2 linked regions of the Xenopus tropicalis genome follow. The protein of the gene in region 1 interacts with the protein of each later gene in a pairwise test. Links are inferred from orthologs where the notes say so. Each region holds a gene or a part of one and is shown on either strand. Other genes may lie near its edges.

Region 1 (5,616 bases):
TACAGGGGAATCCCTATGTGCCATAGTTTTATGGTATCTCTCTGTACAGGCTATGAGCAAACTTAGGGGGCTGTTCCTGCTGAATTGTGCTTAGTACAGGGGAATCCCTATGTGCCATAGTTTTATGGTATCTCTCTGTACAGGCTATGAGCAAACTTAGGGGGCTGTTCCTGCTGAATTGTGCTTAGTACAGGGGAATCCCTATGTGCCATAGGTTTATGGTATCTCTCTGTACAGGCTTTGGGCAAACTTAGGGGGCTGTTCCTGCTGAATTGTGCTTAGTACAGGGGAATCCCTATGTGCCATAGTTTTATGATATCTCTCTGTACAGGCTATGAGCAAACTTAGGGGGCTGTTCCTGCTGAATTGTGCTTAGTACAGGGGAATCCCTATGTGCCATAGTTTTATGATATCTCTCTGTACAGGCTATGAGCAAACTTAGGGGGCTGTTCCTGCTGAATTGTGCTTAGTACAGGGGAATCCCTATGTGCCATAGTTTTATGGTATCTCTCTGTACAGGCTATGAGCAAACTTAGGGGGCTGTTCCTGCTGAATTGTGCTTAGTACAGGGGAATCCCTATGTGCCATAGTTTTATGTTGTCTCTCTGTACAGGCTATGAGCAAACTTAGGGGGCTGTTCCTGCTGAACTGTGCTTAGTAAAGGGTAATGCAGACTGCAAACACCCAATAGGATGTCTATGTTCTAGGCCATGACGACCAGGGAACAGTTCCACACACAATATTCCAAGAGCCTCATTAACATGGATTCGTACAGGCGGCAGTTGCGGGAGATGGGGGAGAAGTGCGACGACCTGCAGATCCAGCTGTTCAGGATGGAACGGGAAACTCTGGCCATGAAGACCGACCTGAATAAGTTAAAGTCTCCAGCGCTGGTAAATGGCTACGGGGCTAGTGGCCCATCCCTTCCTGGTTATTGCAAACTTCACCCCTTATCTACCCAGGCCATGCCCTAATTATGCTAAAGCCCCACCCATTATCCAGTTAACTCCACCCATTCACCACAAGCCCCACCCCTAATAATTCTTTTTATCATATTGGGGCCCCTGATAGTCACCGCTAGGCATCATACATTGCAATAAACCCCATTTTTTTTTTCTTTCAGACCTCGGATTTTGAAGAGCTTTCACCCCAGGAGGTAAGTACTTTATAGGGGTGCAATTACCCCCCCCCCCCCCCCCCCCGTTTGTGACTTGCTTGTCAGTATGACCTGTGGTTTTCTTCTCTCCCATAAAGAGCCACAATTCCCCAGATAACAAGCACCCAGAGACTGCACAGCGTAAGTATTTATATTTATATTATGTCTCAGTCTGTATATTTGTATTTATACATATGGGTAGGAGGTGCCATAGTGTTTCCCTTAGACAGTACAGTATGGGGGTACAGCTTATTGTGTGCCCAGAACATTCCTTCTCTGTATATTTGTATTTATACATATGGGTAGGGGGTGCCATAGTGTTTCCCTTAGACAGTACAGTATGGGGGTACAGCTTATTGTGTGCCCAGAACATTCCTTCTCTGTATATTTGTATTTATACATATGGGTAGGGGGTGCCATAGTGTTTCCCTTAGACAGTACAGTATGGGGGTACAGCTTATTGTGTGCCCAGAACATTCCTTCTCTGTATATTTGTATTTACACATATGGGTAGGAGGTGCCATAGTGTTTCCCTTAGACAGTACAGTATGGGGGTACAGCTTATTGTGTGCCCAGAACATTCCTTCTCTGTATATTTGTATTTATACATATGGGAGGGAGGTGCCATAGTGTTTCCCTTAGACAGTACAGTATGGGGGTACAGCTTATTGTGTGCCCAGAACATTCCTTCTCTGTATATTTGTATTTATACATATGGGTAGGGGGTGCCATAGTGTTTCCCTTAGACAGTACAGTATGGGGGTACAGCTTATTGTGTGCCCAGAACATTCCTTCTCTGTATATTTGTATTTATACATATGGGTAGGGGGTGCCATAGTGTTTCCCTTAGACAGTACAGTATGAGGGTACAGCTTATTGTGTGCCCAGAACATTCCTTCTCTGTATATTTGTATTTATACATATGGGTAGGGGGTGCCATAGTGTTTCCCTTAGACAGTACAGTATGGGGGTACAGCTTATTGTGTGCCCAGAACATTCCTTCTCTGTATATCTGTATTTATACATATGGGTATGGGGTGCCATAGTGTTTCCCTTAGACAGTACAGTATGGGGGTACAGCTTATTGTGTGCCCAGAACATTCCTTCTCTGTATATTTGTATTTATACATATGGGTAGGAGGTGCCATAGTGTTTCCCTTAGACAGTACAGTATGGGGGTGGAGCTTATCGTGTGTATATCTGTATGTAACCAGCAGTCTCTCCCACATACAGAGGAACAGAAGAATAACCCCAATTCCAAGAACGTGGCAGAGGCAGCGCAAGCACAGAATGTAAGGAACAACTGATAACTCTTTAGGGAATATTAAACCTGATGTTCTCCAGAACTACAAATCCCAGCATCCTTTGACAGACAGGCATTTGTAATCCAGCCAATGGTTAGACATTTGGGTTAAAGGCAGCCGTACACTGGCTGAGACAGATCCAAGTGATCAGGGGGCGGGCTCAGTACGAATGGTCACATGGTATGGCTGCCTTTCTGTTGCACTTTGTTAGGGCTGACAGCATCTCATTGAATATAAAGGCAGCCAATCAGCATCTCCGCCAGTTTAGTGTTCCAGTAATCATCCAGAACCACTCTAGCCAATCAGCATGTAATGAAAAGAAGGCAGCCAATCAGTATCTAATCCAGCATTCCCTGTGTTCCAGAGCAGTCCGGTAAATGGATTTGGCATTAGAAGGAAGGTCAATAACAGTTTTGAAGACATCCGAAGGTAACGTGTTACTATGGTTACAGTCCCACCCACTTCCCAGCATGCCCCTCCCCCTGCCATGTGTTTCATATCTGTATGAGCACTGAGAAGCCTCTGTATAAACAAACCCCTCCCTTCCCTCAGCAGCAGCCTGTCATTGGAAATGTTGTTTAGAATGACATTTTCTTCCTTTCTTTAAACAGTATTTCCCCCCCGGAGAAGCCTCTGTATAAACGAGTCCCTCCCTTCCCTCAGCAGCAGCCTGTCATTGGAACTGTTGCATAGAATGACATTTTCTTTCTTTCTTTAAACATTATTTCCCCCCCCCGAGAAGCCTCTGTATAAACAAACCCCTCCCTTCCCTCAGCAGCAGCCTATCATTGGAACTGTTGCATAGAATGACATTTTCTTTCTTTCTTAAATCTTTATTTCCCTCCCCGAGGAGCCTCTGTATAAACAAACCCCTCCCTTCCCTCAGCAGCAGCCTGTCATTGGAACGGTTGCATAGAATGACATTTTCTTTCTTTCTTAAATCTTTATTTCCCTCCCCGAGGAGCCTCTGTATAAACAAACCCCTCCCTTCCCTCAGCAGCAGCCTGTCATTGGAACTGTTGCATAGAATGACATTTTCTTTCTTTCTTAAATCTTTATTTCCCTCCCCGAGAAGCCTCTGTATAAACAAACCCCTCCCTTCCCTCAGCAGCAGCCTATCATTGGAAATTTTGCAAAGAATTACATTTTCTTTCTTTTATTAAACATTATTTCCCCCCCGCCCCCGAGAAGCCTCTGTATAAACAAACCCCTCCCTTCTCTCAGTTGCATAGAATGACATTTTTCTTTCTTTCTTTAAGGAAAAGGGTGCTGAAAACGCGGAGGAACTCCGAAGAATATTACACTACAGAAAGTGACGCTGAGGGGACCCCTTAGGGGCCACGCTATATTTTTTTAGTCTTGGCTTTGAAGAAAAGAGCAAGACCTGGACGGAGAGACTGCAGCATGGAGACTGGAGCCTTTAAGTGAAGCCCCGCCCCCACGTGCTGTCGGTGGGGGGGGGCCCTGAAACACAGCCTTAACGACAACGAAAGCCCCCCTTGCAAGTACAGTGTTTTTTGTTTACATTCCAAACCACCCACAGTGGTACAGGCAGCTCCGCCCCCTCCAGGCAAGAAGTGTTGGACTGGGGCCCCCTAGGGCCACACAAAGATTCCGACACCCAGGGCCCAGTCTCCCAGCAACTAGAGGGAGACAGGGTTATACAGGCCTATGGTGGAAATAAGAAAGGGATGATGGGAATTTTCCTTAGTTAGGGGCCCTGTAGAATTGGACCTATTGCCGATGCCCCCGGGCAACCCATTAGGAATAAGCTGTGCCACGAGAAGCTACTATGTTATATAAAGCTATGTTATGTAAAGTCCTGTGTTTTTATACTAAAGAGCAATTCTGTACTGTGGCTAAAGCATTAAACCCATACGCAAAGCTGTGTGTTACTTACCCTTTATGTGTCACGTGATCTCACTCTTGGCTGCTGGGAGTTGTAGGGGATCCGGAGCTGGAGGTCTCGTATGTAACGGTCAGGTGGGGCGGCTATTGGATTAGTATCTGTCTCTTTCCCTTCTCTGCACTGCTGGTTCTGACTCCTGATACAACTCCCCAATACCCATTCATCCCTCATTCTCACTGGGTTTATAGTTATGTGTAACTGTCACTGTGTCTGTCCCTTTCCCTTCCCTGCACTGCTGGTTCTGACTCCTGATACAACTCCCCAATATCCATTCATTCCTCATTCTCACTGGGTTTATAGTTATGTGTAACTGTCACTGTGTCTGTCCCTTTCCCTTCCCTGCACTGCTGGTTCTGACTCCTGATACAACTCCCCAATATCCATTCATCCCTCATTCTCACTGGGTTTATAGTTATGTGTAACTGTCACTGTGTCTGTCCCTTTCCCTTCCCTGCACTGCTGGTTCTGACTCCTGATACAACTCCCCAATATCCATTCATTCCTCATTCTCACTGGGTTTATAGTTATGTGTAACTGTCACTGTGTCTGTCCCTTTCCCTTCCCTGCACTGCTGGTTCTGACTCCTGATACAACTCCCCAATACCCATTCATTCCTCATTCTCACTGGGTTTATAGTTATGTGTAACTGTCACTGTGTCTGTCCCTTTCCCTTCCCTGCACTGCTGGTTCTGACTCCTGATACAACTCCCCAATATCCATTCATTCCTCATTCTCACTGGGTTTATAGTTATGTGTAACTGTCACTGTGTCTGTCCCTTTCCCTTCCCTGCACTGCTGGTTCTGACTCCTGATACAACTCCCCAATACCCATTCATTCATGCAGTATGTGATGTCATTTGGGGGTGTGTCTTACATATGGGGTGGGGGAAATGGGCAGGCGGGGTGGGGTAATAGGCTGGGGAATTACCCGCCAGGCCAGGGGTTCCCAACCTTCCTAATTCCGCGACCCTGTAATCCAGTTCATGTTGCGGTGACCCCCAACCATAAAATTATTCCTAAAACCACCGGAATGTGTGTTTTCCAATGGTCTTAGGCAACTCCTGTGTAAGGGTCATTCCACCCCCAAAGGGGTCCCGACCCACAGGTTGGGCTAGGGCTAGGCCTATGCTGCCCCCAGGGGGCTTTAGTTATTGAGGGGGGGGGAACTCAGCCTGAGGGCCAATCAGAGTGAGATTTGGGGTGAAGATGGTTTCGCTGGCCAAGCTATCAGTGGGGGGATACTGTAC
Region 2 (5,065 bases), on another chromosome or scaffold:
CAAAAAAACACACAATCGCAAAGCGTTATTTCTATCGCATTATTCTAATGCATGATTCATAAACACATATGAAGCGCTAAACTCACAAAATATCGCTTTAATCTGTGAGAATATTAACACCTACTTGGGGCAGGCGGTACTTAAACAACATTGCAGTTTGTGAGCTTTTGGCAACACAACATGGAGTTTGCAGTCAGATTTTTTCAAGTATGTGATCGTCCTAGAGTGATGCTTCCTCCATTTTTCAGGGAAATGGTAATTTTCAGAACAATAGTTTCAGATAGTAATGGTTACATGCATAATATTGTGTGCTAATATTGCACGCGGCGGAAAATAACACTAACACTGTCCTTTTAGTGAATCGATCGTTAAGTCGAAAAAAATAAGAAGTGATAACATTTTTAACGCATGCTATAAATAGCACTCATTTTATCGACCTTTAGTGAATCGGCCCCTGAGTCCGCAATAATCAAAAAAAGTTAAAATTAAACATCTTTATTATATTATATTATTATTATACTATATTTTGTGATTATTGTGGACTCAAGTCTTTTTATTGCTTTGGTTTTCCCTCTTTTGGTCACTTGAGGGCCAAGTCTGCATGCTTAAATTTTAATTTAATAGCCTTTTTTGACTTTTTCCTTTTTGGCTTTTGTGCAATATTTACAATAAAATTTTAGCCTCACAGGGTAATAGCTTTTTGACTGCACAAGTCAGTGTCCCCTGAAAAAAAAAACTATAAAAAAAAAACATGAAGACCCATTGAAGAGATGCTAAGAATACATGCTAAAAGTTAAAGGTGAACCAACCATTTAACAAAAAACATATATATCCTATTTACCATTCTACTTGTAGGGCTGCCCTTGTTTACTCAGAGTGATCTTCTGAGCACTTTGCAGTTTTTATAGTGGTAGTTTTTGACTGCTGATACCAGGTTTTCTCTGAAAGATTGTATGGGCCTTTTAAAGATTTATACATAATGAGCATTCTTCTGCAATATAAATAAACCCAACTTATATAGTTTATCCCCATAATTAAAACCTTCTTATCTCATTGTCCATGTCTATACCCTCTCCAGTTCCATAATTTCCTTTTTATTAATTGGATCCCAAAAATATAAATTCTGTGTATTCACAGCCTAAAAATTGTCAAAGGGCCCTTGGCACTTGCCCTTCCCTTATTCTCCCTCCATGTAAATTTGTTATTATTGAGCTCTCTTTTTGCAGCTGTTCATGTTGTCTCTTTTCTTTATGACAGTCAAAGGCAGCATATGTGCTCTTCTATCAAAGGCAAGATACCATTACTGGAACAGGTTTTTTTCCCCTTGACAAAGAAGTTAAGCAAGGTGCTTCAGCTGCCACGGGAGCCCCACATGAGAGCGATGAAGAATCGAATGAAGATGAAAACGACATAGAGAATGAAAATTGTATGCACACTAACTAGCAGAGGCCTGTGATGCCATAAGTACAACTGAGAAATGACACTTAGGTGAAATGCCTGCCAAAAATAGGTGGGGGGGGGGGGTTGCCTCAAATTGTGGTATTTTAGATTGTATAATTATTTGGGTTTTTTGTTTTTTTTTATGTTTTACTTATTTATTTTTTACTTTTTGTTGCAAAGTTCTCTACAAGGATGGTGCTATGGAAACTGATCAAACTATTTTTAGCTAGTTTATCTTGTTATTCCCATCAAAATGTATATAAGTAGTCACAAACTAGTTCATTTTTTCTGCTGCTCTTTTAATCAGTTTGCTTTTACTGATTTAGTTATTCCATACTCTTAAATGGCCCATAGTTTAACCATAATTGCCCATAGGCTTGCTTTTATTGGGAGGGAATGCATTTTAGTCTTATGCAGGAATGGCAAAATGTGGGCTGTTGCTTTATAACTTGACAGAGCAGGCTGGTAATAAGCAAATTTGCTTTGGCAAATGACATTTAAGACATTTTTGACGAGTTTTGTTTTTTTTGTTTTCGCAGACCTAGAAAAGCTGGATCATTGAGCCAAGGTTAATGTTAAAACATCTCTGGAATCAGTGCAAACTACTAAACAGCTGTATAAATGATATTGAGGAAAATAGCAAAGGTGTTTTAGCCTTTTGGTGATATAGGTTTGACTGTCTTGGTGATTCTACTTAATGATGCATATTTAATTTGGCCTTCATGATGCTGTGTCAGAGCAAGTTGCAACTGAATGTAAATGTCCCTCATCCCTTGTTGACTTCCTGTTATACTAATTAAAATTGGTGCATACATATGAACTTCTGTAAGTCATGCGTTTCAATTTTGTGTTGTAAATTTTATGAATTTGAATAAGTGAGTTGGTTGGCACAGCGCTCTCCGACAACACTGTAAATGTAACATTTATAAAATGGCACTCTGTGTCAGTGACAATGACTGTGGATTTATCTCAAATTATGTTCTTTTTATTTCACTTCAATTTTTCCCCTTTAAAATGTTAGACTTTTCTCCAGGTTAGGTCTGTGGAATTTCTTTCAGTGTGTGCTCCCTTTATAAGTCACCATGGCCTTACAATTCATCTCAAAGAAAAAATTGCTATGACATAGGACAACTGGCATTTGCATGTTCAAGTATCAGAACTTGTACTGTGTATATCGCATACAAGCCTTTCCTTTTATGTTGGCTAACTGCATTCAAGGGTCCAGGATGCCAAAAAAAAAAATCTGAACCATTAAACATTTTGTAAACCAACTTGTTCATTTGCTGCTTTACCCTGTGATCATGTTTGAAGAATGTACTGTTGTTTTGTATACTGCCTATAACAGGAACTCTAGACATTTTGGGACATGCTTTACATATCTACTACCTGAAGAGTTTCTTTCCTGTCCCTTTGTTTAAAGAAAGACATATGATGTTCTTCACTTGAACTAATATAATAAAAATACAATAGGTTTTAAATTGTGTATTGTAAATAAGAAGTTCACTCTGTGAGTGCACATTTTGGTAAATTATTTTATTTATACATTGGCATTAAGAATATGAATAAATGCATTTGACCAGGAGAAATGAGATATGGCGTTGCTTTCTAGCTCTGTATTAAAGCTAATGTGTTAACATTTGAGATGTCCAGCCTGCCCCCTCGGCCACTTTAGAACTACGACTCCCAGTATCCCATGATAGCCAAAGCCTGTTACAGAATGGTGCAAGCTATAGTTCAGTGTCTAAAGGAGGACAAGCTGGGCATCTCTGTCTTATATCCTGGTATTTTAAAGCTGCTTTGATTTTTGTTTTTTTATGTATAAGGTTATCCTTCTGCATGATGGAGGTAACAGGTTTGTCTGCACTTTAAGTTCACTTCCGTTTACATTTAAATTGTGCATGATTATTTATATAAATTTCAATAAAGTTGTTGAAGGCTTAATTGTTTTGTTTTGTTTTTGTGTAATGTGCTTATAATGATAAATAACACTCTTAGCAGGTAATGTAACACCTACCATTTTTTTAAGAAAGCAGTATAATGTCACTCATATAGGGAGAAAAAACCTAGAACTATTTTAGCCACATAAGGTGAGTCACTTTATGGTTGTTTCCTGCACGTGGATCAATGTTCTTATAACAATCAAATGCAACTATGCAGTATGTAATGGAGGATAAAGGCTAACAACAGTACTAAAAATAACACAATAATAAAGCTCCAACATATTCCACAGTGCTGTACGATAGAAGGGTGCATACACTGAAAGTATAGGTTACATACAAAACTACAGACAAGGGCCCTGTTAAGCATACATTCTACACAACCACCTGCTAATATGTAGCTGCTCTTACATGCAGAAATGAAAGCATTAAGGCTAAGCTTAATCATTTTTATTCATTTCATTCATATTCATTGCAAGAGGTGGATGTAGTAAATGTAACAATTAGGAGGTGGGCGGGCAGGGGGGCTATTGGCCTACTGCATGGAAAGGAGCTGATCACTCACCCTTCCCATTATTTGTGAATTATATTACCATTCCATTATAATTATAGCCTCCTGCTATCATGTCTGTGTCTTTCCAGTGGCTTATCCATAACCAGTCATTGGTTTCATTAGCATTTAAATTTTAAAATTTTTCTTTATATCAGGTAGTTACAATTGTATTGCCCCACGTGACACAAGACAAGACCCGTGGTTGTCACACATGCAGAGGATATTATAGCACATGGGCAGTTTAGAATCTTTCAGTTCATGTGACTGGGAAAAAATGAAACAAGGATTTACTTTTTTGTTGACCACCAGCTGCAGGGTCTGCAATAGTCCATTCAAATGATTGGGAAGCAGCTGTTATTTGGATTGCTGAGGACCATGTTGATTTAAAATGCTTGTATGCCATTGCAATTACAATTAATTTAGAATTCCAGTAATAGGCAGACATTGCCCCTTCTGGTGTCAGGTAAGACATGTTAATTAGCCTTTTCCATTCCGCAGGATTTACTTAAAACCAGATCAGTTATTCATGTTTGATTGCATACAAGTTGTGAGAGCCTTATGCAAAGAACAACATAGATATGATACAGGACTTAGAATAACATGTCCATCTGATTTCTATGTGACTTATTATTGGGGATGCAACTATTGGTCCAACTGCAGGGGTGTTAAAAGAAAACTATACCCCCAGAATAAATATTTAACCAGCAGATTGTTTATACTATAATAATTGGCCTCTTAAAGAATCTCGCCAAACTGTTGTATGTATATCAGTAAATATTGCCTTTTTACATCCTTTTCTGGAACCCCCATTTAGTGATGGGCTGTGTGTTCCCTCAGAGATCACCTAACAGGAAATAATGCAGCTCTAACTGTAACAGGAAAAAGTGTGGAAGCAAAAAGCAGAACTCTGTCCATTAATTGGCTGATGGGGCCTAGCATGTATGTGTGCCTTGGCTTGTTTGTGTGCACTGTGAATCCTGTTTCCAGGAGGCGGCCCTTAATTCTAGAAATGGCAGTTTTCTATTCAGGAGTACCCAATAGCACATACAGGTATGGGATCCCTTATCCGAAAACCCGTTATCCAGGGTTTTTTTTAAATAATTTTTAAAAATAATTTCCTTTTTCTCTGTAACAA

Evidence for each region.
Region 2: the proteins of card9 (region 1) and usp15 interact in binary tests that used the Homo sapiens proteins (3 or more experiments, as listed by UniProt). The two-hybrid records come from large-scale screens. The link is inferred for Xenopus tropicalis from reciprocal best matches to the Homo sapiens genes CARD9 and USP15.

What each region holds. Positions count from the first base shown.
Region 1 is NC_030684.2:6,397,079-6,402,694, reverse strand, and holds the end of card9 (caspase recruitment domain-containing protein 9), read left to right. Parts: intron 1-707; coding exon 708-893; intron 894-1,123; coding exon 1,124-1,156; intron 1,157-1,254; coding exon 1,255-1,297; intron 1,298-2,389; coding exon 2,390-2,448; intron 2,449-2,824; coding exon 2,825-2,889; intron 2,890-3,719; coding exon 3,720-3,795; 3' UTR 3,796-4,359; downstream 4,360-5,616. UniProt on the Homo sapiens protein: Adapter protein that plays a key role in innate immune response against fungi by forming signaling complexes downstream of C-type lectin receptors.
Region 2 is NC_030679.2:62,712,972-62,718,036, reverse strand, and holds the end of usp15 (ubiquitin carboxyl-terminal hydrolase 15), read left to right. Parts: intron 1-1,257; coding exon 1,258-1,426; coding exon of another isoform or gene 1,427-1,443; exon of another isoform or gene 1,444-1,488; intron 1,489-1,979; coding exon 1,980-2,002; 3' UTR 2,003-3,381; downstream 3,382-5,065. UniProt on the Homo sapiens protein: Hydrolase that removes conjugated ubiquitin from target proteins and regulates various pathways such as the TGF-beta receptor signaling, NF-kappa-B and RNF41/NRDP1-PRKN pathways.